4 linked regions of the Caenorhabditis elegans genome follow. The protein of the gene in region 2 purifies or fractionates together with the protein of the main gene of each other region. This does not show direct contact. Each region holds a gene or a part of one and is shown on either strand. Other genes may lie near its edges. The genes, in order: nep-24, spp-5, Y47G6A.22 and asp-14.

Region 1 (8,094 bases), on a different chromosome or scaffold from region 2:
GACTGTTCCAAATATCTTTCAAATACCGTGACCAATTGTTAATCAGCGCCGAGGAACACCGCAGGAACTACTCAAAGCTTGAGCCGACAATTTTAAATATTTTCGAGACAAATGGACTTGTGCCAGATCGGATACAACTTTTGAAAGATTTGGAGGGTTTTGCATCTCTTGAAGCTTTATTGAAAAATGTGACATTTTAATTTGAATACTTTACAATCGAAACTAAATTTTCAGCATTACTACTTGGACAATATGGATAAAATGAAGCCCGCCGTGCTTGATGATCTGGTGCCAAGTGTGGACTTTATGGGGCTTGTCAAAGCAATGATCAGCCCGGGAAAGGAGCACTTGATGCCGAAGATTGAGCTCAAGACTAGTGTACTGAATCAGACATTGTTCAACGATGAGAATATGAATGTGAGTTGGGTGGAATGGGCTTGTGCTCAAAGCTCACAGCGTTACAAGAAAATTCTTTATCTAGATTTGTAGAAATAATAATTTTCAGCTGGAAGCAATCATCCTTGACACACCCAAGCGAACACTGGCAAATTATTTGATCTTCAACTTTATTGACAGTTCATTGGACCATCTGGTTTTCGAAACAACTTCTCAAAAAGGAAACACTTGTGAAGATGTAAGTTGGGCCCAATTTATGTCGGCTGCTTCACAATATTCCTTTTTTGAAATGCAGGAGTTGTCACATGTTTCATGAATTTTGAAGCGCCCGACGTCTACCGGGATCCGCTAAAACACAGCTAGTATTGCAGCCGGGGTGGGCGTCGGCTGCTGCACAATCTCAAAAGGACTGCACAGCCGCCGACACCTCACGGGTTCCGCGCCTACGAGGTAGACACAGAGGGGTGCGGTACCCGTGAGATGTCGGCGGATGATACTGGTTGGGGTTGCGATTTTAGCATTTTCTCCGTGAATTTCCGGGAAAAAAAGGGCTCAGTCTTATGGATTTGTACGTACGTAAATGCCACGATGTACGAAACTCCTTTTTTTTCGAAGTCATCGCATACCTTCCCCCTAATGTCGCCAGGAGTTGTCTCATGTTTCATGAATTTAGAAGCGCCCGACGTCTGCCGGGATCCGCTACAGCACAGCTAGTATTGCAGCCCGGTAGGCGTCGGCTGCTGCACAACCTCAAACGACTCGAACGAAAGACAACACGTACATTTGAAATTAGAAAAACTGCAAAACAAATCCCAAAAATTAGGTCACACCGTTTTTGGGTCGTTTTCTGGGTTGGCAACTAAATCGGGACCCCAAGCAAATAACAGCCACCGACACCTCACGGGTTCAGCGCCTACCTACATCGTGATAATCTTAGTGGGATGCGGTACCCGTGAGATGTCGGCGGATAATATTGGCTGTACAAAAAATCCTATATTTTTTTAGAAAGTCATCACATACCTTCCTCGTGCATCTCTCCGAGTCTTCATTCGCAATTACGTCGACAAAGAGAACCGAGACCTGATCACCCAGCTGGCCGAAAAAACTCGAATCGCTCTTCACACTTTGGTTCAGAACTCCACGTGGCTAAAGGCAGAATCCAAACAACTTGCTCTAGACAAAATTAATGCGATGGGAAAGATGATTGGGTATCCGGACTTTTTCGAGCCACCGGGCACTTTGGATGGCATGTTTAAAAATGTAAGTAGTGAAAACTTATGCCTAATTTACTTAATTTTTTTAGCTAAATCTCGACTCATCTGACACGTACTACACAGCTCTCAACAAGCTCGAAAGGTATTTTGTTGAACAAAAAATGGATTATTTCGCAGAAGAGACACCTCTGGATCCAGATTTACGCGTTTTTGAAATGAATGCCTACTACTATATTCCCGGAAATCAGCTGAGTAAGTACTATTGGCTTTTAACCTAATTTTCAAAGAATTTCCAGACTTCCTTGCTCCATTCTTTGATGATCCAATGTTTGACTCGACCTACCCCGATTATGTGAACATTGCCATGTCTGGGAACATAATTGGTCATGAAATGGGTCACGCATTTGGTCCACACGCAATTTTGAGAACTGTCAGAGGACGGGAAGTGTGGATGAAACCGGAAGAACTTGCAGAATACGAGAGCAGGGCGCAGTGCCTGGCAAATCAGTACAGTGAATATGATGATCCAGATTTTGGACGAGTTGTAAGTGAAACTAGGTGATCTTGAAAAATGATTTTTCAACGAGAAATTCAGTTTGACGGCGGCAAAGTGATCGATGAGCTTGTGGCGGATAATATCGGACGGGAGGTTTCTTGGAAAATGTTTAAAAGTCTTGACTTGACAAATGCGACAAGGATTATTGGATTTGAAGACTATGACATTGACCAACTGTATTTCCGTGTTGGAGCCCTGGTGAGTCCATGTCGACCAATCAGCACGCGCCCTCATCGCTGATTGGTCGACACTTTGGTACAGTGTTGTCTAGCCATTCAACAGCCGACATAAAGCGGGACCATTAGATGTCGGGTGCTTTGAAACTAATATTAGCAGTTTTTTCTGAAAGTATCTATTTCAGACACACTGCACCCCTCATGCGATGCGTGATTTGAAAGGGTCTATCGAAAGTTCTCATCCTCGGAAAGCATTCCGTGTGAATGGAGTCTATGCGAATCTTCCAGAGTTTGCCAGAGCATTCAACTGCCCGACGGGATCTCCAATGAATCCGAGAAAGAAGTGTGATATGTTCTGAACTTGTGTTTTAGGTTTTTACTAGAAATGAACTTGATTCCTCCCTGATTTCTTGTTTTAATTTATAGTAACATTCTCATCATTTTGTTCAGAAAAGAGATACCATTTAATGAATCAGCTCAGATTTCTGATCAAATACGAATGTTGATCGGTGACAACAGGTGGTTTGTCTTTTGTTTGACATGTTTGAATTGAATCATTGATACGTTACTGTTCACCAAAACATTTATTTTTTGACAAACTTTTTTTCTGTTTCATGTATTCTATTTCAGTTTGTGTCGTTTTTATATTCTTACTGCTTGTAACATATAATTTCAGATAATGAGTCTACAAAAAGCCAAGGAAAAGCTGCCAGGATTTATGCTTCTTCTTCTTCTCACCTGTACTGCTCCACTCGCCATCGGAGCAACAACTCCTGCTACCCGAAATGTCTGTAATACTCCAGCATGCATCACTCTTGCTCACATGTTGGTAAGTTCCTAGCACTCTGGTTTCCAACTATATCAAACTTCCAGCACAACTACCACGACCCATCAGTTGATCCGTGTGACAACTTCCACCAATTCGCTTGCGGGAGAGAGCATGAGCACGAAACGGAAGATATTTACACGAAAAAAACAAAAACCATCAATAATATAATGAAAAGTGAGCTTTAGCTTTTATTCTTTTCTGTAATTTAGTTCCTGTTTCAGGATTTCTAAAAAAGAACGAGACGTCAAGATCGAAGTCGGAGAATGCTATGAGAACCTTGTATAAAGCGTGTAAAACCTTGGAGAAAGTAAGTTTTTTTTCAAAATTTTAAAAGCAAAATTTAATTTTCAGAATTCCACAGCCAGTCGTAACAAAGCTCTTCAGGACATTTTCCAAGATATTCAGAGCATTGGGGCTTGGCCAGTGGTGGATGATAAGTGGGATGAGTCGAAATTCGATCTGAATGATTTCCTTGTTAATCTAGTGAGGTTGGGAAGAAAAAATTTTGGACTATTTCAAATGGCACGGTATGTAAACGTTCGAAATTTTGCTATAGGCCCAGAAGCAGCTTGGCGTCACAACGTAGATCTCGGAAAGGTTTCGGATACAATTTTATACATTTTGCACCTTAAAAATTTGAATTTTCAGACAATTTCCGAGATTCTGAAAGCTAATTCTGTTCAGACGAACAATAAGAAGCTTCTAGACGATTTGGCAGAGTATGTTAATTTGGAGAAGGCGTTAAGCCAGCACAAGTTCAACACAGTTCAACCAGGATATATTTTTTCTGAGCGATCAGATTTTGTGTCAAGTGTGAATTTTTCAAGGCTCGTCTTGGAAATGATGAGCCCCGACAAAAGAACTTTATTCCCGGAAGTGTATCAGATTATGTACCTAACCAACACCTCGCTGTTTTTTGGAAAAAATAATAATGTAAGCATTATATTTTGATAGGGCTTCCATGTAGGCGCCAAAGCGCCTGCCTCTGCCTGCCGCGCCTCTTGTATTGTGCGGCGCGAAACCCAAAAAGTGTCGGCCGCTGCAAAAGAGCCACATTTAGCACTATGTGGTGTCTTTCATTTCTTGTCATTATGAGGCGAGAGGTCGGCGGGAGGCGGGCCGGCGTCAGGCCCCCGTCCTCCGCCTGCCTCGCGCGCAGAACCCGAGAGCCACTTTTCACACTTTATTGTGTCTTTCCTATCTCGCTAAAATAAGGTGAGAGGCAGGCGTCAGACCCTGAAACCGCGCCTGCCTCCAAAGCACTATATTTCGACTCTCCGGAAGATATTCTCCTTATAGCTTGAAACAATCATTCGGAACACTTCTAAAAGAGCATTGGCCAACTACTTGATCTTCAAATTCATCGATACGTCTATCGCAGACCTGACATATGGTTCCCCATCGGCATTTTGCGAACAGGTAGAGTACTATGATTTTTTTTTCTTTCGAAAAATTTATTTAGAAAGTCATCAACTTTCTCCCTCGTGCTGCTCTTCGTGCATTCTATCGCAACTTTATAAGTAAGGAGAATCGGAAGAAAATCACCAAATTGACTGAAGCCACCCAAGTTCAACTGTTGAAGATCATCGGCGCAACTGATTGGATGAGCATTAAATCGAAGAAAATCGCGATGGATAGAGTCAGCAGTATGAATATGGTAATTGGATATCCAGACTATTTTGATCCACCGGGAAAACTGGATGGACTATTCGAACATGTGAGTAGACCTCCTAGAAATCAGGGCTTGATAATTCAATTTTAGCTCAATCTGTCTTCATCTGACACTTATTACACGGTTGTCAGAAAAATCAATCGATTCATGCGTGAACAAGAGATGGACTATTATACCGGAGAAGTGCCGTACTATCCATTGTTCCCGGGACTTATGACTAATGCCATGTATAACGCGAATGATAATAATCTAAGTAAACTTGCAAGATAATTAATTATCATAATTATATATTTGCAGTGATCTTTGCCCCATTCTTCGATGATCCATTTTTCGACTCTAGTTTCCCGGACTATGCAAACATCGCATTCACTTCGAACACACTTGCTCATGAAATGGGACACACTTTCAGCCCGCATTTGATGGATATAATGACTGGTACAACAGAAGTTTGGCTAACACCGAAGGAGACAGAGGAGTACGAAAAGAGGGTGAAATGCCTGGAAGATCAATATACTGAGTATGACGATCCGGAGTACGGGAGAATTGCAAAAAGCTGTATAGTTTGAAAAAATACTCAATTTTATTAAACATTCAGTATAATGGATCGATGGTGATCGATGAGATAGTAGCAGATCGGATTGCAATTGATGTTAATTGGAGGGATTTCAAGAGTTCGGATCGATCGAAGGATCAGAAGATCATTGGATTCGAGGACTACAATCTGGACCAACTGTTCTTCCGTATTTCAGCTATGGTTAGTGAAGTGCTAGTGAGAAAATAAATAAAAATATGTCATATTTCAGAGCTTCTGTACGCCGGCTCCACTTTCGCTAGAAGTGTCTAAGGCTTCCAACCATCCGGCGTTTGCCTTCCGTGTCAATGGAGTTTTTCAGAACGTGCCAGAATTTGCGAAGACATTCAACTGCCCGCTTGGATTGCCAATGAATCCGGTGAAGAAGTGTAAAATGCTCTGATATTTTGTTTTTTTTTTTTTTGGAATAAAATATGCATTGTTAACATGAATTTTAGTTTTGAGAAGAGTAGTATAAGAATATTCAAACCAGGGTTGTGCGGCAAATTTGGCGAATTTGGCGAATTTGCCGTTTGCCAAGCTCGGCAAATTTCAAAAAAGTAGATTTGCCGAATTTGCCGCTCAAATCAAAAAATTTGACAATACTATCTATTTTGACCAAAACTATTGAATTTTTCCCCAAAAATTTTGTAAAATGACACAAAATTGAGTTATTTTGACGTTGAAGCAGCCAGACTACACGGAACTTATTTTGAAACCAGATGTGTGTTAAGAATTCAGTAGTTTTGGTGCTCCAAAAACATCAAATTTTTCGGAGTTTGTTAAGCACGGCAAATTTGCCGAATTTGCCGAATTCGCCGAGCTCGGCATGTTTTGAGATTTTCCGCGCACCCCTGGTACAAGGTGTCATCCTAGTCCCAATCAGGGCTGTTGCAAAAAAAATTTTCGACCAAAACAAACAACTAATTTTTTGTTTGAAATTTGGACCAAAAAACAAAAAAATAGAATTTTTCAAAAAACCAAAAAAAAAAAACAAAAAAAAACACAAAAAAAATTGAATTTTGATTTCAAACGGGACAAAACGGAAATTTTTCTTGAAATATTTGTTCCCAAAAACCAAAAAAAAAAAACAAAAAAAAAACAAAAACCAAAAAAAAAATCAACAGCCCCGGTCCCGATGTCTCAGTGCAAAGCAAAAAAAACTGTAGGTCGTGACAGATATATTAGGGTTGTATAATTGTGTGCTCCTCCCTCGTTTTGTGTGTCAATGCCTTGCCGCTGGGCGGCAGAGCTATGTGCCAAGTTACAGACATAGATCGCACTATAGATAAACATATGTATAGTGCAATCTATATATGTAACTTGGCACATAGAAATCTACAGTCCCTCCCCCTTTCTCTATGTTATTGTACCAATGCCTTGTTGCTGAGCGGCAATGCGAAACAAAAAGACTGTACGTTGCCATCTACCAAGTTACAGATATATTAGGGTGCTCCTCCCTCGTTTTGCGTGCCAATGCCTAGCCGATAAGCGGCAGAATAAATAGTCAGTCTAATCAAGACGAATCAAATCGACTGCCCTACCAGCGATGATTGCCTCCTCCAAGATGCTCCCATGCGTCGCCATGCTCGTCCTCATCTGCGGTTTGTTCAATGGATCCAGTACAGTCAAAGGAACATGTTCCTCTTTTCAGCTCACAGTGCGTTCTCCTCCGTAATTGTTGTGAAGCGTGGAGAAGCTTAACCGGAAGACAAGAAACTGGAACTTCTGGATTCTGTCAACAATGTTCGTAGTCAAATCTCGAAGGAGCTTTCAATTTCCAATATGAATAAGCTGGTGAGTGATTTACGAAACTATGCCAGCAAATGTATAATCTTTAGGAGTACAGTATGGAACTTGAGAACAAATTGAAGAAAGAGATGACTTGTGAGAAATTTACCGCTTTTGTGGAACTACTTCGCAAACATCTGGAAAACGAGCCAAAGGAGGTGCAAGATCTCGCAGTACGTTTATTCAGTAAATTCAAATTATTAGTTGGGCTTTTTAGGCCATTAGTCTTTTCGGAGCAATTGTGGAATACTACCTTAACCCTCTGGACACTCACATCGCTTTCGTTTCTCTAACTTGCGAAGGAGTTGAAGTCAACATGCCAACCCCTGAAACTTCATTGGAGTAAGTTTTTGTGACGATGGTTGAGAAAAATGTGAAATCTTGTTCAGCAAAGCCGCCGATCAATCTGACTTCAAGCACGGCCAACCAGGATCTGCTTGTCCATCTGGAAGAACTGCAACATCTGCCGGTTTGTGTGCTCGTTCGGACTAGATCGAATCCGCTTGACTTCCTTGCTTTTGCCTTGAACTTCAATTTGTGTTTATAGATTTTTGAATGAAGTGTGAAAATTAGATTTGTTCTTGCTTTTTTATAAAACTTTTACAATCAATTTGAATCCCTGGATGCCAGTTATAAAAGTTTATACTGTTTCATCTGGCAGACGTTTTTTTGAAAATCATGTGCATAGGTTCCTAAAACGCAGAAGCGGAAGAGCACATTGAATTAGAAAAAGAGTTGATCTGGAACTTTAGATGCTCGTAGAATTGCTCTAGTAGGGGGTTTCTGAAGAGTTGAAAGACTAACAATAAGAAATAGAAAAAATTACTAGAAAATAGGAAAATTAGAGGAATTGAAAATTTGGAAACCTCAAAAGTACTGTCCCTAATTC
Region 2 (5,921 bases):
GACTAGTACAGCCAGCCAATAAAGTTAGGCAAATCTAGCAAATTTCTTCAAAATTTGTTAGTTTGTTAAAAATGTTCACGAGCCGAAAAGCAACGAACATTTGTCAGTCGGCTGTTGGCTGGCGCTATCAGCCAAAAACCTCTCTAAAACTGATTTATTAAATTGTTTAAAAATAAGTTCTCCGGTTCAATTATAACACGTCAATGTTTATGGGCATTCGTGGAGCTTTGTGCACACATCCTTTGGAGCAGTTCCGCTTTCGAGCTCCTTGATAATGGGGTCAAGCTTGGTGTTTACATAGTGTTCACATTCTTGTGGGGCAAATGGAATAGAGTGGAACAGTTTCTTGCACTCGGTGTCAAAGTCCTGGAAAAAACTTCCTATTCTATATAGTTGCTAATTTATCTGAGAAACACTACATGATGATGTCATTCTAGTAGCAAAAAGTATATAATAAAATCCTGACCTTCTTGATACCATTTACATCCTTGTCAACGGAGCCGTCGTACTTCTTGACGGCAAGCTCGCACATTTGACATCCCAGGGAATTTCTTTGGTGTGGAAGCACGACGGCGGTGGCTACGAAAACCAAAACGGCTAGCACAAGAAGAGTCTTCATACTGCAAAATGAAACTGCTTGAATGAAATTAGGAATTGAAAATAATCTAAATTATCTATCTGGCACGTGTGACGCAGGTTATTTTATATCGGCACTCAAGCCTGATTATCTCGTTTTCTGATAAGCAGCGTATTCAAATGGGAATTATGTTTTTGATCGTTGTCGATTTTAGTTTGATTGCCGGAACAATTGCCGGTACAACCGGAGGAAAACAGTTTATAGAACGGAGTACGTCAGAAGCAATGCGGGTACATTTTTAGTTCCCATTTACATTTACTGCAAGTACGTATACCGTTTTCCTATTTCTCCTTTCATCCCGCTTTTCAGAAAAATATTTTAAATTTAATTTCGGAGTTTTCAACTTTGTAACAAATCACATAATTTGCTATAAAACAAAAATTAAAAATTCACGTTAGTGTAAACCCGTGTGATTTGTGACTAGTTTTGAATTACGGAAAAAAACATAAATTATTTTCTGCTCAATTACGTGAACAAATGTATTATGCATACGACTTCCTACATTAAACAAATTTTTTTCAGACTCCCTCTGTCTTTTTGAAGGAATTCGATGACTTTTTGATCTATTGAACTTAATTTTCTGTTGTATCCGTAGATAAACGGAATATTATGTGATTTCACGTGATCACAGTTTCGATAATTGTGAAAAAGTTACAGGTATTATATATTGCAAATCATCAAGACGCGGCACTTCCCTGAAATTGTATGTTGTTATCTGTAAAAATTAGGTGTCCAGGGCAGGACAATTTCACAAAGAAAACTTATCAAACCAAACTCCTAATGTGTCAAAAAAGTATCAAAGGTTTTGAAAAAAGTGTACTCATTTTTCGCTGTTCAATCAATAATTGTGCGCGAAAAGCTTTCAAGCTTCAAGATAATTCTAGAAACTCAAGAAAAGCTTGCAACGAGCTTTCAGCGTTTCAAGCAATAACAGTCACGTGTACATGGTGTGCAGACCGGGCAAGTTCCAAACTCTAAAATCATAATGATACACATTTTTTCAATTGTTCCCCACTCTCCTGGATTGAAGCTTTTTGGATTACAGTCCTTATCAGTACTATTATGATTCGTTATTAGACTTGAGGCCCTTTCTAAAAAATAAGGTCCAATACATTTCTGGTCACAATTATTCTATATTTATCAAAATTCTGGTTGAAACTTTTAAAAATCGAAAATTTATTGGTAAAAGTTTCAAACAAGTAAAAATTTCAATGATCCGTTTATGGGCATTCGTTAAGCTTGGTGCACACATCCTTTGGAGCGGTTCCTCCTTCCAGCTCGTGAATGATTGGGTCTACCTTGCTGTTGACGTAATGATCGCATTCTCTGGTTCCGAATGGGATGGTGTGGAAAAGCTTCTTGCATTCAGCATCGAAATCCTAGAATATTCAAGAGTTGTTGGTTTTTTTCTAGCACGGATTTATTACCTTCTTGATGACATTGGCATCCTTATCGGCGGATCCTTCGTATTTCTTGACAACCAACTCACACATTTGACAGCTCAATGCGCTTCTATTTTCTGGGATGGCAAGTCCTGAGGCAACGGCGACCAAAACGGCTAGTACAAGAAGAGTCTTCATTCTGTAATAAAATAAATTGAAATGAAACACTGAAGCATCAAAACGCAAGGAAGAATTGAAAGAGCACGCGGTGATAGGGGCGCATTTATAGCAAAAACTTCCCAATTTTGATTACTTGACCATTTGATAAGAAGCAGCGTCGAAAGCGGAGAGCATAATGTATGGAATAGAAAAAAGGTTACAGATCGACAACATATGCATTAAACTCGTGATAAATAGGAAAATTGTCCGGCTTGCAGGAATGTACTAAACATTTATACTATGTTGCAATGCATGATAACTGTTTTTTAACGATCCAGATGTATGACATTTAGAATAACGTCAACTTACGTTGTTATTTGTAAATATATTTAAACTTTCTTTGGATAGAACGAGTAGGTAATGTACAAATATAAACTCGTTTATGATCAATTTTTTGCGAACTTTCAAGTTAATATAAACATTTAGTATTATTGCCACGCCACGACATAAACATGAATTTAAAAAATTAATGAAACTATATTTTGAATATATAACTGTTTTCGAGTAAAAATACCACAAAGTAAGAGAAGTAGGTGTTTATTTTTTTCCAGAAATATATTACTGTTTCGGCGGTAGTATTTAGTTTCCACAACGTTTCAGTGTTTTATTCCGCTCTGATGTTCATCTGGAAAAATAATGTTGTTCAACTTATTCAATTTTGTAAGACTGCAAAAATAGTCATCAAATAAGTTTAGATTCATAGTAAGTAAAAGTTGTTTAACAAAATAGTGTCCACTAGATTTACCGAGAGGTTCGAGGCAATGGATTAGTTTTAGATAAAACTTTATTGTTTCTGAAAATTATGAAAGGACTTGTGGCATTTGTATTCGGAGCGGTTTGAAACAACATTTAATATTTTTTTGCAACTATATCTTTGAACGTGAGGTTATTCATTCCGTTTCAGATTTTCCCGCATAGACTGTTTCTATTAACTTCCCTAGAAACCTAAGATCCTTTGTATGATATTATAACCGATTTATGACTCAATATCGCATAACTCTAACAAAAAACTTATCATGTGGTAACATTCAAAATATTCGCACATTGTCTAGCTTTAAGAGTCAAAATTAATTCACTCCCTATGGGAAAAGTGTTGATATAATTTTTCATTTCCTTGTCTTTGCTTCTGATCTCCCATTGTGAATAGGGAATTCAAAATTTTCAATCGAAGTTTTGGTAACTGGCCTTTTTTAAGTAAATTTTTTGAAAAAAAAATGGAAGCGATGCAGCAGGTTTAAAATTTCTATATTGGTCAATGACAACTATTTAAAACATGGTTAAAAATTGGCGAAAATTCAAAAAAACATGTTTTGGCCGACTTACAAAAGTATAGTCATATTTAACTGAGTTTTCAACCAATATCATCGAACTAACTGCTCATAGATAATTTTTTTCTAACGTTTTGCGTTTTGATATTGGGTCATTTTAACAACATATAAATGCTTTTAAAGATTTTCCCAAATAATGATATTTTGCTTTGAAATGTTGGACAGACAATGTACCAAGACCATGTCAGAATTAAGACAATGCAACAATGTTCATATGGAAAGACTGCATCAGATTGAGACCTATTAATTATAAAATTTCAATAATTTAGAAATTTTAACAGACAAATCAATTATTTTCACTTTGTCAGTTCCTCGCCTTTGGCTCCCATAATTACACGTGCATCCATCACAGCTTGAGAAGCTTTTTGTGCAGCAATAATGGCTTTAGCTATTTTCTTTTTGGTGAGCGTCTCGTTTTCTTTCCGTTCTTGTTCCGTCAATGTTGGGATTTTTTTCAGTACATCGTATTGGTCAAGAGCCTGTTGACATTCAACCCTAGTTCGTTGCTCGAGCTCCTTCGCTTTTTGAAGCTTTTCCAGTTCTGCGTTTCTCTGAAAAACTGTTTTTAAAGTTCAAATAATTCTGATTCGAAAATTACGAGTTCTGCTGTTCGTCTGGCATGTGGGTCGGTAATATTGTCTACTGGAATTGGTGCAGTGCTGACGCTTGGCCGTGAGGATTCAAGAAACCGAAGTGGCATTGGCATTTTGACTGAAATTTGAGATGGTAAAAAGAGAACTTACTTTTTTGCATTGCACAGATCAAAAATTAAAAAAAAAACAACAAAAAAGGCACAGAGCAGAAGTTTACATATAAATGAAACCATGGAGATCTTTGCCAAAGTCGCGTTTTATAAAAGTGACTTTTATGCATCATAAAGTCGGAACGAAAATTGATGAATGGGGTTTGATTTTCACACACACTGAGCGACTAATAAACTAATAGTTCAAGAGAGCAATATCGCTGGGGCAGTTTAAGAAGCGTTTTTTATGTTTCTAATCCGGATCTGCATCTCTGAAAATCACGTGCTGGAACGAAACTGCAATTGGAGCTGATGTTAGATGTGAATACATTGACATTAAAAAAAAAATACTAGATAGAACAAAATTCAGACTTTTTAAAGTTCATGTTAATGACTGATGTGAAGAATGAGCAAAGATGAATGAGTTTTGCATGAAAAGGGATTAGTACTTGTGAATGAGAGTTATCGCATTGGTTTTTGAACGTTTTTAATTAATTCTTAAGCATTGAATATCAACAAGACGAGTAAGGTTTTTGTTCTGAAACTTCACAGTGCTTGTTTTTTTTAAATTTAGAAGAATTAAGTTAGGATAGTGAAAACTAAAAAGTAAGTAAAGTTGTTCTAACCCTAAAGAATTTTTAAACCAAGCAGGTGGAAAAATTACAATATAAAACATTACAGCATGATACTTACATATAATTTTAATGACCTTGTTTTGAAATATTAATGTTTCGACCCTTAGTAGTCAAAATTAAAATGAGCAAAACGCTGAAAAAAACATCCTGAATAACTCTGCGTCATTATTAATTCTGCCACTTCACTCATTTTGTATCTGATGTTTGTTCACGCTTCGTGGATTGACTGATCATTCGGAAAGATATGCTAAACATGATTCATGAAGATAAAGTGGGTCCTGAGGATAGAAGTGAAATTTTATTTCGAATTTAAAATTGAATTTTTTATTAATGTAATGCTGCTTTCAAAAATTTCAAAAGAATCGTTCAAAAGCTAATGAAGTATTACGAAATGCTCAAAATCGTTTCCAACGTGATTGCAGACTAACGTATATGAACTTCAAATTAAAAAAAAAATCGGAAACGTGATTCGAGTAGGTGAATGAAACACCATTTCCTTTTCCAGACATAGTTTTGTTATTATTATAATTACTATGAGTGGCTGGGCAAATGAAAAGGTTTGATTTCTAGTCAACCAATGATCACCTTTCGTGAATGGACACAATCGTTATCAGTGGGAAAATATAAATTAGCGGCCGTGACATGAGTGCTAATCAAATGCCAACGTTTGTCAGGGGGTATAGCTCAGTGGTAGAGCGCTCCCTTAGCATGGGAGAGGGCTGGGGTTCAATTCCCCATACCTCCAAAACATTTTTCCTCAAAATAGTATCGAATGTTCAAGTTTTGATTTTGGTACAAGGAAAACATAAACGTTTCTCAAAAGCAAACTGGAGAGCAATATATTAGTGTCAAATTTCGATGAATTGACTAATGCTATGTAGATTCAACCGAGCATTCACAAAAATTTGGTGTGTTTTCTCCCGCGTAGCATCATTAGAAATAGACAATAAATGAGGACAGTAGAGGCCAGACAAACTA
Region 3 (8,430 bases), on a different chromosome or scaffold from region 2:
GACATTGACAACAGTTCCTTTTGTTGTAATAATATGTGGAAGAGCTGCACGTGTCAGGCGGATCAAACTACGAACATTCACATTCATTAGCTCATCGTAGACTTCAATTCCAGAATCGAGAACTGGTCCGGCACGCAGAATCCCGGCCGAATTGATCTGAAATTTAGAATATTTTAAGGGTAGAATGGGAAATTTCTCGAAAAAAAAACTATGGATCCTGGAAAAGTGAAGTTTTTTATTTTTCAAGTTTAAATTTTGAATAGTATTGACTTCATAAAATTGAAAAAAAACCTATTGTAGTTCCGCAATTGTTCCTGGGATACGAACTTAAAGGCGCACGCAATTATCTAGTTGGGTCTCACCGCGCAAAAACATTTTTCGTGGCAAGACCCAACCGAATAAATCCGTGATCCTCTATGTACGCGTTTCTGAAAATTTTGTAAATAATAAATGGATAAACTCTAAATTTCCGAAAAACTTTTCTCTCGATAGTTTCAAATTGTTTCGAACTGAATATCCTCACCAATGAGTCAATTCTTCCGAATTTTTGTACAGTTGCATCCACAATTGCTTTGGGCGCCTCATCAGAGCTCAGCTCCACTGCAGTTATCAGAATCTGGAATGAAAATCGATTTTTTAATTGATGTCGCTATTTTTTCCACCTAAAAACGTTCAATCCCCTTTTTTTGCAAAATTTTGCGATTTTTGGTCTCGAAACGACATAATAAAATTCATAGCTACAGTACCTGCAAGTGTTTGTAATTTTTAATGATTTTTAGTATACTTCTTGATATTCGATGAGTTTTAATATTTTTTTTTGTATGTGTCAAGACCATGGCGGCGGTTTTTTTTAATTAAAAAAATAATTTTTTTTGTTTTTTCGACAAAAAAACGGTGTTTCCAAAAATTACAAACGAGGAAAAAAAATCGAAATTTTTTTGTGATAACTGCTATCATGAGAACACAAAATTCTGAGAATGCGTAATGCACAACATAATTGACGCGCAAAATATCAAAACTACAGTAATTCTTTAAATGACTACTGTAGCGCTTGTGTTGATTTACGACACCAGAGTTACAGTAGTAATTTGAAGGATTACTGTAGTTTTCGCTACGAGATATTTTGCGCGTCAAATATGTTGCGCAATACGCAATCTCAGAATTCTGTGTTCCCGTAATACTGTACTTTCCGTCACAGTTCCTAAAATATAAAACTCACATCATCAGCCGAAATTGCACCCTCTGAAATACATAGTGCTGCGACTTCCTTCAAAGAATCCGTATTTCTTCCGGTCAGCGAGAGTTGGTACTTTTTTTTCGCGAACAGAAGAGCCGTGCCTTTTCCGATTCCCGAACTTGCTCCGGTGATGATGGCGACTGGCATTTTCGGATACTCTGAATAAATTCAAAACTGAATCAAAAAAAAATCGATTTTTTTTCAAAAAAAAAAAAAATTAAGCAAGGAAAAAACCACTATAAAGGATTCAATAAAAACACAATTAAAAAAAATACATGTATCTCTCTATTTATTACATGATAAAAGTTCAAAACAATCTCAATATGAGACAAAAAAGCTAATATTTATCTCGGATGCATGATTCCGCGGCCTCCGTCAACACGAAGAAGTTCTCCAGTAGTGAATGAACTTTTCTCAGAGGCGAGGAAATAGATTGCCTCAGCAACTTCATTGGCATCACCGGGACGGCCGAGTGCGTGTGTCGTTTTACTACGTTCCAAGAACTGAAAGAAATGATGATATTTATTTGTCAAGGTCAGTGCAGCAGGTTTTATACCGCAGAATATGTTGTCTCGTCTTGACCAGATGTACGATGCAGGTTGGTCACGGTGACCCCTGGGCTGAAATTTTTGGAGAAATGACAAATTTATATGGGTTTATTAAGGGAACACAATATTTTGAGAATGCGTATTGCGCATCATATGTGACGCGCAAAATATCAAAACTACAGTAATTCTTTAAATGACTACTGTTGCACTTGTGCCGATTTACGGGTTTTTTTATTTATCAAAAGATTATTGAAAATGAGAAAATAATACGAAGAAACGAAGAAAATAAATTAATTTCCAAAATCGAGCCCGTAAATCGACACAAGCAGTACAGTAGTCAGTTAAAGGATTACTGTAGTTTTGATATTTTGCGCGTCAAATATGTTGCGTAAGACGAATTCCCAAAATTTTGTGTTCCCGTAATACGTGTGTTGTTAGCGTTTCATTCGACAAAAAATGAGAAAGTTAGCGATTTTTGCACCAAAATACGGTAACCGGTCTCGAAGCGATCTTTTTTTTTTCAATTCAAAAGTGCGTGCGCCTTTAAAGGAGTACTGTAGTGTACTGTAGTTACTTACTCCTAGTTTTTGCGAGATTTTTAAAGCAATTTTCCATAGTTTAGCTCCTGTCTTTTAAAAAATTCGTTTTTATTCAAAAAATATAAAAATGCATCAAAATTTGAACAAAAACAAGAAAACCTATGAAAATTCGGCAAAAAGTTAGAATTTTCAGGAAATTTTCCTAGTTTTTTTTTGTGATTTCGTTCTTACTCATATTTTCCGATAATTTTTCGATTTTTCGAAAAAAAAAAAGCCAAAAATATTTTCGATTTCAAAAATAAATATTTTTCCGATTTTTCGCAAAATATCTTGAAATTTTGACAATTTTTCTTCTTTTTGGAAGAAATGTATATGTTTTCTTATTTTTCGAATATTTCTTTAAAAAACCTAAAAACCGAAAAAATCGTAATTACAGTACTCCTTAAAGAGAATCGATCGCTTCGAGACCTGGCACCGTAGTTTTTTGGCAAAAATCGCGAGAAAACTCACCAAACAGCATTAACACGAACTCCATTCGGAGCCATTTCGAGAGCCAAACATTTTGTGAATTGATCTACGGCCGACTTGGACATACAGTAATAGGTTACATTTGGGAACTGAAAATTGCGAATTTGAAAATTATTTTCAACAAAAAAATAACATCATACAGGGCACGGTCCATTAATACTGCTGACATTGACAACAGTTCCTTTTGTTGTAATAATATGTGGAAGAGCTGCACGTGTCAGGCGGATCAAACTACGAACATTCACATTCATTAGCTCATCGTAGACTTCAATTCCAGAATCGAGAACTGGTCCGGCACGCAGAATCCCGGCCGAATTGATCTGAAATTTAGAATATTTTAAGGGTTTAATAATTCAAGAATCGGTTGGAGAGTTTTTTTAAATGTTTTCGTTATCCCCATATTTTCTTTTTACAGGTTGGTGCAATTTTTCTCGAAAATAAAAATGAGAAAACTCTTTAGGCAGAAATTTGGAAAATTCGAAAAAAAAAGTATCTAAAAAAGCGCGCAAACTTTTTTCTCAAAAAATTTTAAAAAATAAAAATTCTAAGATCTCTGAATCTTAATGTGAAATGCGACAAAAATAATTTTAATTTTAAAAAAAATAATTAAATTTGGGTGCAAAACTGAGCTACAGTACTCGCATATACTACAGAATTTTTTCAAATTTTCCTTCGATTTTTATATATAAATTTTAATTTTTCAAACAGTTTTTTATCGAAAAGTATAAAATTCGATGAAAATTCCGCAGAAACAAAAGAAAATACAGTACTCTTTAAAGGCGCGCACCTTTTTACAAGTTGCAAAAATTAGTCGTGGTGAGACCAGATACCGTATTTGTAACGCAATAGTAGTCGCAAAACTTCACATTTGGATAATTTTCTGTGCATTTTTTTACAAAATTCGCAATTATTACGTTTTCAAAAAGAATTTTGAACTAAAATTTTTTATAACGGGAACACAAAATCCTGAAAATGCGTAATGCAACACATTTGACGCGCATAATATCTCGTAGCGAAGACTACCGTAATTCTTTAAATGACTACTGTAGCGATTGTGTCGATTTACGGGCTTTATTATCTTGATTATGAGAATCAAGCCCGTAAATCGACACAAGAGCTACAGTAGTCATTAAAAGAATTACTGTAGTTTTCGCTGCGAGATATTTTGCGCGTCAAATATGTTGTGCAGTACGAATTCTCAGAATTTTATTTATTTTTATGTTCCCGTAATAGTTCTAAATTTTATTATAACTTTCCAAAAATAACCCCCCACCAATGTGTCAATTCGTCCAAACTTTTGCACAGTCGCATCCACAATAGTCTTCGGAGCTTCTTCTGAAGCCAACTCAACAGCGGTCACCAGTACATCATTCTTATCACTTCCAGCACTGACAATTTGCCCGGCGAGCTCATTGAGAGCCGCCACATTCCGTCCGGTAAGTGAGAGCTTGTAGTTGTTCCGGGCGAGAAGAAGAGCCGCCGCACGTCCAATACCAGAACTTGCACCTGGAAAAGAGGGGAGAGGAATGGAATTTCAAGTATTTAGAGTCATTATTACCTGTGACAATTGCGACGGGCATGGTTGACCTGCAAAATCAAAATTAAAATTAAAATTGAAAATTGAAAATTGAAAAAAAAATCTTTGAAACAAATAATAAACGGCATCCTAAAAAAACGAGACCCAGAGAAAAATACAAATTTTGTTTTCTCCGCTCCTGATAACACATCACACATCAGGAGTTCAACTTTTCCAAATTTTTTTGCGCGTAAACTGTGGTGCATTAGGTACATGACTCAATGCATCACATTTGACGCGCAAACTTTTTTATTTCAAAATCCATGTCAAACTGTGGGTTACTGTAGTTGATATTTGAAAAAATTGCTATTTTTGTGCCAAAGCTACGGTGCCTGGTCTCGTCGCGATAAATGTATGTTAAATGTAAAAAGATGTGCGCCTTCAAAGAGTACTGTGTCAATGAAAATTCCAAAACGAGAAATTACAGTGCTCTTTAAAGGAGCACACCTTTTCGTATTTAACAAATATTTGTCGTGTCGAGATATGGAGAAAAAAATCGTAAAATTTTGATGCAGAAAAATGCGATTTTTGAAATCGAGGTGCAAGCGCGCTCCACGGTCAAATGGAAAAGCTCCGCCCCCAAACGTTGGGTCTCGTTAGGTATTACCGCTTTTTTGCCGATTTCACCTGTTCTCAAGCATTTTTTCGTGTTTTTTCAAGATTTTTATATCGAAATTATGTTTTTAAAATTGCATTTAAAAGGGAAAACCGTTATTTAATTTGATTTTCCTTAATTTCGACACATAAAACTAGTAAAATCGGCAAAAAACCATAAAAATTCCCGGTTGTCTCGCCAATACCTGACGAGACCCAACGTTTGGGGGCGGATCCTTTTCAGTTGTCCGTGTCAGTCTGGAAACCTATATTGGCTACTATCTCGAAAACCATCACAAAATCGATTTTGCGATGCATATAAGAAATGACCGCAATGAATATACCTATCTTTATTTGTGATGAATTTTCGATTTTGTGCTTCCTGCCCAAGTTATGCACGTTTGTTCGGTGGAGTGCGTTTGCACCCATCTAGCAACTGAACCACCGTGAAAAGCGCATTTTTCTACGTCTCAATAATATTTCCCTTTGTTCAGTCTTTTTTTCCCGTTTCAATTCAAAAACTAATCAATCATGATGAAGGAAGTTTTGTGTGTGGGGCGGGGTGAGCGTTCGTCGCCGAAAAAAAAACAGCAGTAACGATATTTAAGGCTGAGAATTAGGGTTTGAGTACTGATAGATAGGTCAGCGGCGAAATGTTCAAGATCATTGTTCTACTGGCTACGATTCTGATCGTCACTGTCTATGGTGGGTTTTTTGAGATTATTGATTTTTCAACAAAAAAAAATTCGAATAATGTTTAATCACCCAATTCATTAAAAAAAAGAAGTGTAATGGGATTAATGAAAAAATAGGATTTTTTATAAATAGTTTTTAAAATTTGACGAATTTTTCTGCTTTTCGCCAGATTATTTGAAAAGTGAATTTTCGTAAGGGGAGTCAGAATGTCCTATTTGGGTTTTGATCTTCAAAAAATGCGGGAGAAGAGACGCAGACTTCTCATCTTATTTCGCCTGGTTAAGAGCCTACTGACGTCACAATTTTTCCGGAAAAATATTCCCGCATTTTTTGTTTATCAAACCGCAATGAGACAGCCTGACACCACGTGTTTTCAAAAATATCAATTTTGTACAGGGAATTTGTTTATTTCCCCAAAAATTAAATTTTTTTTCGAATTTGCGCGTCAAACATGGTGCACTGTCGTAGTTCACTGACCCAATGCATCAAATTTTACGCGCAAATGCGGCCCTAAATGAATAATTTGAATAATTTCCAGGTGGCTGCCCCGGCATTTCCAGCATCTACCTCCCCCGCCGAGTCAATTGTCCCCTCTGCGATTTCGCTCCATTTTCTCAAGCTGTAACCGGCTCCGGCAATCAATATTCGATAAAATGCCCCGCTGGCTCTGATGTTTGGTACTACAATGAACAGGGACGTGAATTCGTGACCCCAATGAGTAAAGTTGGATCAAAAGGAAGCATCAAGTGTGATGGATCGAAATGGAAGATCAGTGTGCCCGGACAAAGTCAGACACTTTCTGCGTTTGCGTGTGGATCCTCGTAATAAGATATAAATAATCCAAAAATTGTTAGGAAACTTATCAAATGAAACTAATAAATACTAGTACAAATGAATTATTATTCACAGAAAAAAATAAATAAAAATAGACAAATCACAGAAGCTCATTGGAAATTATTTGGTACATTTAAATATTTGTGGAAGCAGAAATTGGAGGAAAAAAATAAATAATTAAAAAAAACCGTAAATCAGGCAATAGAAAATATTAAGAAGCTGCTGGCCAATAATTGTTGACTAGAAAATTAGAAAATACATGAGAAAAAAAAAATCAATTAATTGTGTTTCGGTCTAAACGAGGCGTCGGAAATATCTGTAATAATATCGGGAATATCGATTGAAACGGAAACTTCTTCGCTCGAACGACGGCTGTCTCGTCGTTTTGGTGTCGGTGCCATCGAGTCCGTTCGACTCTGAAAATTTTGGTTTTTTGTTGAAATTTGGAGGCAGATACTGTTTTACTACTTGATCTTTTACTACGTATCTCTTTTACTACAAGATCTCTTTTACTACGAATTCCGCATTTAGATCTTTTACTACAATTGGCTCTTTTACTACGTGATCTCTTTTACTACCATTTGACCACATAGATCTTTTACTACGGAAAATACTTTTTTACTACCTCATCTTTTACTACGTGGATCTTTCACTACGGTTTCATATTTCGATGTTTTGCTACAGTTTGTATCTTTTGCTACGGTAGACATTTTTACTACAATGGCAGGGATTGTACTTTTCACTATGTTTCGTATCTTTTACTACTAATTTTTTACTACGAATTAAAAATTAATGTCTATAGTATTTTATATTCTAGATATAAACAAATGTATGAATAGTTTTTTTTTAATACATAGGTCATAATTGTAGATGGAGTTAATGGGGTTAGACTGTTGGGTTACTGTAGTGGTATTGTGGAAATAACAGTTTTCAGATTATATAGTGTTTTTTTTTAATTTCTAGAAATTTATTCACTATGAAATGAGCAGAACTTATTATGGCCATTTGGATCTAGAAATTAAAAAAAAACACGATATGATCTCTTGCTCTCTTGTAAAACTTTTGTAAAAATTCCAGAAACATTTAAAAAGTCCTCTATAAATGTTTTAAAACTCAGAAGATTTTCTGAAAATGAAAATGTAGGTATCCTATCTCGGTCGTCAATTTATTTGTCATAGTTTTCAACTACAAAGTTGTTGAATATGGTATGATCTACGATTTGTCAGTTGAACATTTTTTTACCAAATTGTTTTCTCGCGGAGTTATCGGTACTTGGAGTCAATACGTTTTATGAACTAACTTTTGACAACTTATCTCCGTTTTTTTTTCAAATCTAAAATCGTGATTAGAAAAAAAACATTTCTAAAGTGTTGATCAAAAGTTTCAAAATGTCAGCTGAAGTCAAAATTTTAAACACCTGACAGATAACTGACCGAACCCACAAGTTTTTTATTACATTATAGACTTATACATATAGACATTATAGACAAAACTTATAGAGCAACGGGTATGGAACTAATTTGTTGGCTACGCGAAAAAAAAAGAATTACTCCCACAATACCACTACAGTAACCCAACAGTCTCCCTCCATTAACTCCATTTACAATTATGACCTATGTATTAAAAAAAACTATTCATACATTTGTTTATATCTAGAATATAAAATACTATAGACATTAATTTTTAATTCGTAGTAAAAAATTAGTAGTAAAAGATACGAAACATAGTGAAAAGTACAATCCCTGCCATTGTAGTAAAAATGTCTACCGTAGCAAAAGATACAAACTGTAGCAAAACATCGAAATATGAAACCGTAGTGAAAGATCCACGTAGTAAAAAATGAGGTAGTAAAAAAGTATTTTCCGTAGTAAAAGATCT
Region 4 (7,999 bases), 880 kb from region 2:
TTACCGATAATATTTAACAATACAACTCACCTTTAAGTTACAACTTTTGACCTGCTCAGCAGGCTGTGGTGATCTGAAATCTACAGGTTAAAAACCTACATCCGATTGTGAAACGTTTTCTCTACTCGAAATGGTGGTAAGAGTTTTCTAAGATACAAATTGCTAGAGACCGTTTTTCTTCTGATATAAAAAGCGTTTTAGTAGCAATTTATCTTCATGGAATTGAGATTTCTATATTATAAACATAAGCAACTCTAAAAAACACTAGTTCTCCACTCTTTAAAATCGTCATACTCCTACTTGCTTTTTATTCATGAAACAGTATCATTGCCAATGCAAACAAACAACTATAGAATAATGCCATCCAAACATTCAAGAAAAAATCATCACGTGACTGTTTCGCAATTCAATTTGCATCCAATGTAGTTTTCTCTCTCTTGTCAAAACTTATCTGATATACTCTATTGTTTTATCCAATTGACGTCACTATCATCATCTTATCTTTTCAATTAGATTTGTGAGACCTTATATAGCGGTTTCAGTGGTGCACATCTGTCATTGTCACTGTCTGTGTGCAGTCATTTTTTTTGGTTATCGTTTTGTTTTTATTGGTGGTCGTTTAGTCGTGTATCGACCTTGGCCTATGCGTGTACGACTCCTTTTTGTATTTGTCACTAGCACCCTCTCCAACCTGTATGCTATTTTCTGTTTCAACGCCGCATGCGTGTACAGTTTCGGAGACATAACAGACTGCTGTCTACTCAACTCCATTTTTCAAAACTTGTATTGCTTTGCAGGCTAAATCATGAAATCCTTCGTTTCTGTTCCTCAAAACTCGGATTTCCCAATTCAAAACTTACCGTATGGTGTTTTCTCAACAAAGGCTGACGTAAGTGTATAAATAATTATTTCTAAAGCAAAATTAAACTAAATATTTTCAGTCTTCCCGCCACATTGGAGTTGCAATTGGAGATCAAATCCTCAACTTGGCAGAAATTGCCAATCTTTTTGACGGACCTCAATTGAAGGCACATCAGGATGTTTTCAAGCAGAGCACATTGAACGCGTTCATGGCACTGCCACGTCCAGCCTGGTTGGAAGCTCGTGCAAGAATCCAACAACTGCTCTCAGAGGATTGTGCTGTTCTTAGGGATAACGCTCATTTGAGGTGAATAAGTTGGCAAAACAAATTTGAAAAAGTTAAAAAGTAGTACAAAGTGTGTCTGATAATCTACTAACCAAATCTAAACAACTATTTCACAAGTTTTAATTTTTATCGTTAGTTTATAATTGCAAAGTTGAATCAATACTGTGCAGCAAGTTGGCAAGTTGAAATGTATATAGAAGTATGTGAAAATGTTCGGTCAATCTGAAAAAAATTATTTTATTGAGAACGCCTGGAAACCCGTCAAAGTTTTTGAAATACTTCATTTGACTTTAAATATATCGTTAAACTTTGTTGGCGACTTGTAGGCATTATTTTTAAAAAAATCTATTTCAAAATCGAGAAAAACCTACATTTTTATATTAATTTTTGATTTATAAATTGAAATCTCATACTGTAATTAGAAGCTTTGTACGTTTTGCGCACAACTTACATATAACTCTGTTTAAAACAACCAAGAAACTTTGTAATAATATTCTTATGTTTTTATTTACAGAAGCCGGGCTCTTGTCGCTCAATCCGATGCTACAATGCACCTTCCAGCTCAAATCGGAGATTACACCGATTTCTACTCCTCCATCCATCACGCCACCAACGTCGGAATCATGTTCCGTGGAAAGGAAAATGCTCTGATGCCAAACTGGAAGTGGCTTCCGGTCGGATACCACGGAAGAGCTTCATCAATCGTTGTATCTGGAACAGACTTGAAAAGACCAGTTGGACAAACTAAGGCCCCAGATGGTAAGATTTAGATTTGCACCAATAATGCAAATGTGTCCGCTTTCAGCTGAGGTTCCATCGTTTGGTCCATCAAAGCTTATGGACTTTGAGCTCGAGATGGCGTTCTTTGTGGGAGGTCCAGAAAATGAATTGGGAACTCGTGTTCCAATCGAGAAGGCTGAGGATCGTATCTTTGGAGTTGTGCTCATGAACGACTGGAGTGGTGAGTAACGATGTTAATTAAATATCAAACAAAAACATTTAAACTCGACATTTTGGTGACAAGAAAATTCAACAGTAGTTATTTTCAAGTTTGCTCCATACTCATCCGAAAAAAAACTTTTCCAGCTCGCGATATCCAAGCTTGGGAATACGTTCCACTCGGCCCATTCCTTGCTAAATCCTTTGCCACAACTGTTTCTCCATGGGTCGTCTCAATTGAAGCTCTTCGTCCATACTTTGTTGAGAATCCAGTACAAGATCCAGTTCCACCAGCATATCTCCATCACGATGACCCATTTACCCTTGACATCAATTTGGCCGTCAGTATCCGTCCAGAAGGAGATGCTGTGGACCATATTGTCTGTAAAACTAACTTCAAGGTATGTTCAAGTTTAGTAGAAACGATATTATCTACACTGTTCACTGTAAATTGGATCATAAACGCTCGTTAAGGTTTTCTCAACTACAATACTGTAATTTCTAGCATTTGTATTGGACTCTAAAACAACAACTTGCTCACCACACCGTCAATGGATGCAACCTCCGCGCTGGAGATCTTTTGGGATCAGGAACTGTATCTGGACCAGAAGAAGGTGCATATGGATCCATGCTCGAGCTTTCGTGGCGCGGAGCCAAAGAAGTTCCAGTTGGCTCAGAAATCCGAAAGTTCTTAAAGGACGGAGATGAGGTCAACCTTTCTGGAGTTTGTGAAAAGAATGGAGTCAGAATTGGTTTCGGAGAGTGCCGCGGAAAAGTCCTGCCAGCCGATATCTAAAATCATCGTAATTAAATCGTTTTGCTTTTTGTTTCATTCTCTCGTTTGTTAGTAGTATCTCGTCGAATAAAGTTCTGAAGCCCACGAAAAGTGATGAAAGTGGAAGTGTGCAGTGTCGAAAATGATAGGGGTTTGTCACGATTTTTTGGTTTCTATGTTATCAGTTCAAAGCATGAGCGAATAAATAGGAGAGCTGGTTGCTTGGAAATCATTCTCAGTTCAATCATGATCAAGACAATCTTGCTTTTGGCCTTTGTGGCCTCGACCTCAGCTTTTGTGATTCCTTTCAAAGTTCATGCTGCAGTTACCAACATTACCAAAGGTGAGTATGAGAATTTACAGATTTGTTTCAGATAAAGTGAAATTTGGTGTTTGTAAATGGAAGCCTTTACAAAATTTAAAATGAACATTTAAGCATTATTTTTGATTTTTTTTTTGAATTATTTTCCGAAGCGTATAAAAATTTCGATCACGTTTGATTGAACATGAACATTTAATGGTACATTAACGTTATATTTTATTCAAAATAGGGATAGACACGTAACTGGGAGTAATAATAGTGGAGAGCGGTAAGTTGTTTTAAGAGCACGTATATATATATCCCGAAGCCACATAAAATGTACAGTGAATGAACAAACATTATTTCCTTTACGACATTGAGTAGAATGTATTTAACTTAGAATAAAGCTTATAACTTACAAACACAATGTTGCGGTTGATTTCCAATTATATATTGGTTGTTTTGAGAATTATGAACTGAAACTTGTGTGGTATGATTTTTCCATCATTTCCAACTATTTGAAAACATTTTATATCAACTTTTAGAAAAAAACTTTTTTTTTTTGATTTTTTTGGAATTTTTAAAAAGGGGTATTTTGGCACTTTCAAAATGTCGTAACTTGATCAAACCTGCTCTGAAGCAGCTAAATTTTTGGAGTGATCATCTGTAACTATTCTCTATCGAATGTATATAGTGGCGTAACGAAGTCCGATAACGAGTTCAGAGCCTTCCCTTGTTAGGAATAATGGTTTTCTAAATCTATTACATTCCACTAGTGAATTGTTTTGTACTGAAAATTACTTTTGGTATATAATACACAAGTTCCTTAGATTTTCAAAACTGAAGTTTAATTCCAGGAGGACAAACTCTGGAGCAAACCTCAACCTTCTTCGTTGCTAACTTGACCATGGGAACACCAGGACAACTTTTCACTGTTGTCATTGACACTTCGACCGCTGACATTGTTATTCCAGATATGAGTTGCAGTGAGTTTCAACCAATCGCTTTCTTGATTGCAATTTGATAGTTTTACGACTTTTAAATGTATAAAACATCTCGAACATAATCACGAAATGATGACAGTTTTTGTCAGCTTTTGCTGACAATTTGCCCTATTATATCGGCACTAAAATCGTTTTTTATGTTGATTATCGGTCAAAGACTATCACTTAGTGCACATAACATTCCTAATTTTGAAAACTCCACACTACTGATAAGAGTGAAAAAGATACAAACTGGAAAATGTTTCAGAGACCGCAAATAATTGCTACAACAAGAGAAGATTCAACCAAGCAAAGTCGTCGTCTTACTATGCATATGGAAATAAGTACACGTACAAGAATAATCTTGGAACTTTCCAAGGATTTGATGCAAAAGACACTGTTGTGGTAATACTTTCAATTTGTTTTTTAAGTCCTAACAATTTTTTTCCAGATCGGAGACCGCAAAACTGATTTGATCACCATTCCAGGCGTGAAGTTTATGCAAGCTACCGACCTCGGACTTTTGATGGATGGATTGGGTGCTGATGGAATTTTGGGATTGGGATTCACAGCCTCATCGCAAATCGGTGGAAACTCACCATTCGTTCAAGGTGTTAACGCTGGAGACATTTCGGGCACATTCTACTCCATCTGGCTCGAGCACTTCAACCAAACTGATGATCTCGGAACCCACGGAGTTATTTACTACGGAGGATTTGATCCAGTGCACTGTGCTCCAAACCCAACATACGTCCCATTGGCTTCTGCATATGCATACCAACTCACGATGTCTTCCTTCAAAGTTGTAGGATCATCCGCCACCAACTCCAACAACAAGTACATTCAAGTGAGTTTATTGCATCTCTTATGTATCAACAAATATAAATTTCAGACTTACCTTGACACCACCACCGCCCAAATTGGACTTCCAAAAACTTACATTAGCCAGGTGTTTGACTCCCTTGGCATCAGCACAAACGTTATGAATGCTATCTACCCAACAATTGTTCCATGTAACACTAAGATCACCCTCACTTTTGGATTTGTTTCTGGTATGTCGATTTCAGTGTACCTTCCACTTGTTTTACATAATTGCTCTATTTTCAGGTACAACAGTCTCAATTACGGAAAGAGATCTTGTTATTAGCTTCTTCGGAACATGTAGACTCCAAATTATTCCAACCACTGATAGGTAAGGAATGATTGAGAAGATGGATTGAATCATGCAAAAATTTTTCAGAATCATTCTCGGTCTTCCATTGTATCGTGGACGTTGCACATATTTCGATCCAATCATGCAAAGAGTCGGGTTCACTCCAGCGCTTCTCCAAGATTAGTGTTAATATTTGAAAGTGGAATAAAAATAAATCATTAAATTTAAAAAGTGCCGTTATGCGGTTCATATTCAGATTCATTTGAGAAATTTCTGAAAACATTGTAAGACTATTGGGATAGTTGGGAATGGGTTTAAGAACATATTTGATAGTATTTCTGATCTACACATAGTAATGTTCTACAAAGTTCTAGAGTGTTTCAAAAACTTTCCCAAACTTTCAGAACGTTTTATATTCTCAAATATACAAAGATTTCGAAGAAAGTATCTTAAACTTTCCAAAACTGATCATTTTCTGAATGTTGAAACGAACTAACTTGCCTACTATGTAGTTAGAAGCAGATTCTACATAGGGCGGTTGGAAGAAGTTAAACATAGTAGGCTAGTTAAAGCATTCGCTGTTGCATGTGCAACCGGTCGGTCCAAATAACGTCAAACAAACAAAAGGGACTAAAAAATTTTTCTATTTAAAAATTATCAGTAGAAATGTTAGTAAAAACATATCATTATTCTGTTCTAAAGCTTATTGGATAATGACTGACGAAGTTTGACTCATTGTATCGAATGATCATTTTTTAATGTAAACATTCACATCTAACAATTACTGTATGGTTGTCATAAAATACAAAATGACATTTTCCATTTAATAAAAAAGATCATCAAACATCACCCGACATATTCAAAACGATTTATTTGTTACATTGTCTGTTTTGTATTGTGACTCAAACTGTCTCATAAATACTGCTTGAAACACATAACTATATAAGAACCTGTCTTGCAACAATTCATTAAAATCTTCACCATGCTAATTATACTTGTTGCGGTTTTTTTAGCTCAAGCTAATGCCAGAGTGGTTGACATAGCAACCGACATTGTGAACATGGCTGCTATAAAAGACCAACTAAATTACGAATGTAAAGACGTAAAGGAGCAAACTCAATTCCAAAATTGCGGCAGCTCATTTTCAGTAAGTTTCCCAGAAAATAAGTTGGTGACAGTAAAATATTTCAGAAAAGTTTGGCGATTATCCAAAACTATCAAAACAACTCAACAAGACAACCAACTCTTCATGAAGAGCTGCTTTCACTTAATAATGTAGTGAGATGGATGTCATTATGTACAAAAAAACAATGAAAATGTGTGTAGTGCACAAATAAAAATTCATGAAATTACCTCTAAAATCACTGAAATCGTTCATAGCTTTTCCACAGAAATGAGTCCGAGTGACTGTTGGAAAGAGGTACTTTTAAAATGGTTTTTTTGGTGTATGTAAAATGATTGTTCAGGACGAGCTATATCACCAATACGTTTCTTGCTCAAACAATTATGGATTAACAAATAGAAATACTCTAAAAGAGTTGGACGTTCTCCGTCAAAATCAAGACGCAATTGTCACCTGCTTAGATCAACACATGGAATCTTCTCAAGGATGCAACAAAAAAAATCGGCACGAAGTCGCAACAATCGTGAACAAAATTGTAAATTTGTATAATATGCTCAATCCTGATCACAATTGCAACTAATTCTCTTCGTTGTTGACACTATATGAGATGTTAAATAATGAATAATCGAGCATTTCAACACATATTGAATATACACCGAATAATGATAAATTTCACGGAACAAATACGATTTGCAAAATATACTTTTTAACTGCTTCTCTAAAATTTGAATATGCACTTTGTCATCGTCGACATTTCGGAATGTGTGAAAATAGAGCCAATGCAGCAAAAGGAAACAATTTGAAAACACTTGCTTTAAAACAATTAGTTTATTGTTGCAATATTTTAAAAAAGTGTCCAAAACATGCTAGTACTTTATTTCAGCTTTACGTGTTAAAACTTTACAAATACCGTGATGTTTTAACTGATATGAAACATTGCTCGCCAAATATGATGTTTTCCACTTAAACAAAACAAATTGCGCGTCAGATATGATGTTTTTAAATGAAATAAAAATTTTGCGTCAAATATGATGTTTTCATCTGATATAAAATATTGAGTGTCAGATACAATGTTTTCAACTGAAATTAACAAATTTTTAGTGATTTCAAAAAACATACTGTAGGTATTCCGAAGAAGTGAAAAATCGCAATATTGAGTTTAAAATACTGTTGTGAAGGTTACTCTCTTCTTGATCTAAAATAATATGTAAAGTAAAAAGAAGTTTGAATTTATGAACATCAATATTCACATTGATATAATTGAAAATTCTAAGAACACATAATTTTTGACAGTTTCAATAGTTGCGTTATAACGGACAAGGCAGAATGGAACTAATGTTTGATGTCGGGAACAATGACTGTAATATGAACTTCTGTATATAATAAATAAACTGAATGGTATATAAAATACAATATGATTTTTTCTGTGTGATATTGAAATATCACAAAGAGCCAGTTGAATTCACAATTATTAATTATATACTGTTCATTTCAAAAGCTTCTTGTGCCAGCATTGTAAATCACAATGAAAAAGTGACAATAACCCAATACATATGAGAGCAGCAATTTGGTACATTT

Evidence for each region.
Region 1: the proteins of spp-5 (region 2) and nep-24 fractionate together in Caenorhabditis elegans (co-fractionation; one large-scale study listed by BioGRID). This does not show direct contact.
Region 3: the proteins of spp-5 (region 2) and Y47G6A.22 fractionate together in Caenorhabditis elegans (co-fractionation; one large-scale study listed by BioGRID). This does not show direct contact.
Region 4: the proteins of spp-5 (region 2) and asp-14 fractionate together in Caenorhabditis elegans (co-fractionation; one large-scale study listed by BioGRID). This does not show direct contact.

Annotation. Positions count from the first base shown.
Region 1 is NC_003282.8:16,921,371-16,929,464, forward strand, and holds nep-24 (NEPrilysin metallopeptidase family), read left to right. Parts: upstream 1-3,021; coding exon 3,022-3,171; intron 3,172-3,215; coding exon 3,216-3,345; intron 3,346-3,392; coding exon 3,393-3,478; intron 3,479-3,522; coding exon 3,523-3,768; intron 3,769-3,819; coding exon 3,820-4,104; intron 4,105-4,470; coding exon 4,471-4,590; intron 4,591-4,633; coding exon 4,634-4,888; intron 4,889-4,933; coding exon 4,934-5,096; intron 5,097-5,140; coding exon 5,141-5,409; 3' UTR 5,410-5,597; intron 5,598-5,646; 3' UTR 5,647-5,687; downstream 5,688-8,094. Other genes in the region: nep-23 (NEPrilysin metallopeptidase family), read left to right, coding at 1-188, 235-417, 506-634, 1,402-1,656, 1,700-1,862, 1,907-2,154, 2,206-2,364, 2,528-2,701.
Region 2 is NC_003284.9:7,318,137-7,324,057, forward strand, and holds spp-5 (Saposin B-type domain-containing protein), read right to left. Parts: upstream 2,219-5,921; 5' UTR 2,218-2,218; coding exon 2,065-2,217; intron 2,017-2,064; coding exon 1,858-2,016; 3' UTR 1,801-1,857; downstream 1-1,800. Other genes in the region: spp-4 (Saposin B-type domain-containing protein), read right to left, coding at 208-366, 467-619; T08A9.13 (uncharacterized protein), read right to left, coding at 3,863-4,117, 4,165-4,272.
Region 3 is NC_003279.8:3,558,413-3,566,842, forward strand, and holds Y47G6A.22 (DeHydrogenases, Short chain), read right to left. Parts: upstream 4,440-8,430; 5' UTR 4,433-4,439; coding exon 4,411-4,432; intron 4,359-4,410; coding exon 4,126-4,358; intron 3,173-4,125; coding exon 2,993-3,172; intron 2,942-2,992; coding exon 2,835-2,941; intron 1,858-2,834; coding exon 1,794-1,857; intron 1,741-1,793; coding exon 1,582-1,740; 3' UTR 1,522-1,581; downstream 1-1,521. Other genes in the region: Y47G6A.21 (DeHydrogenases, Short chain), read right to left, coding at 1-156, 524-616, 1,220-1,384; Y47G6A.33 (C6 domain-containing protein), read left to right, coding at 5,676-5,727, 6,257-6,543; lpd-3 (Bridge-like lipid transfer protein family member 1 C-terminal domain-containing protein), read right to left, coding at 6,831-6,968.
Region 4 is NC_003284.9:6,441,715-6,449,713, reverse strand, and holds asp-14 (Peptidase A1 domain-containing protein), read left to right. Parts: upstream 1-3,049; 5' UTR 3,050-3,107; coding exon 3,108-3,204; intron 3,205-4,019; coding exon 4,020-4,148; intron 4,149-4,413; coding exon 4,414-4,550; intron 4,551-4,596; coding exon 4,597-4,992; intron 4,993-5,037; coding exon 5,038-5,197; intron 5,198-5,252; coding exon 5,253-5,337; intron 5,338-5,385; coding exon 5,386-5,482; 3' UTR 5,483-5,529; downstream 5,530-7,999. Other genes in the region: fah-1 (Fumarylacetoacetase), read left to right, coding at 806-889, 942-1,168, 1,662-1,906, 1,953-2,108, 2,234-2,487, 2,592-2,882; K10C2.7 (uncharacterized protein), read left to right, coding at 6,281-6,445, 6,490-6,612.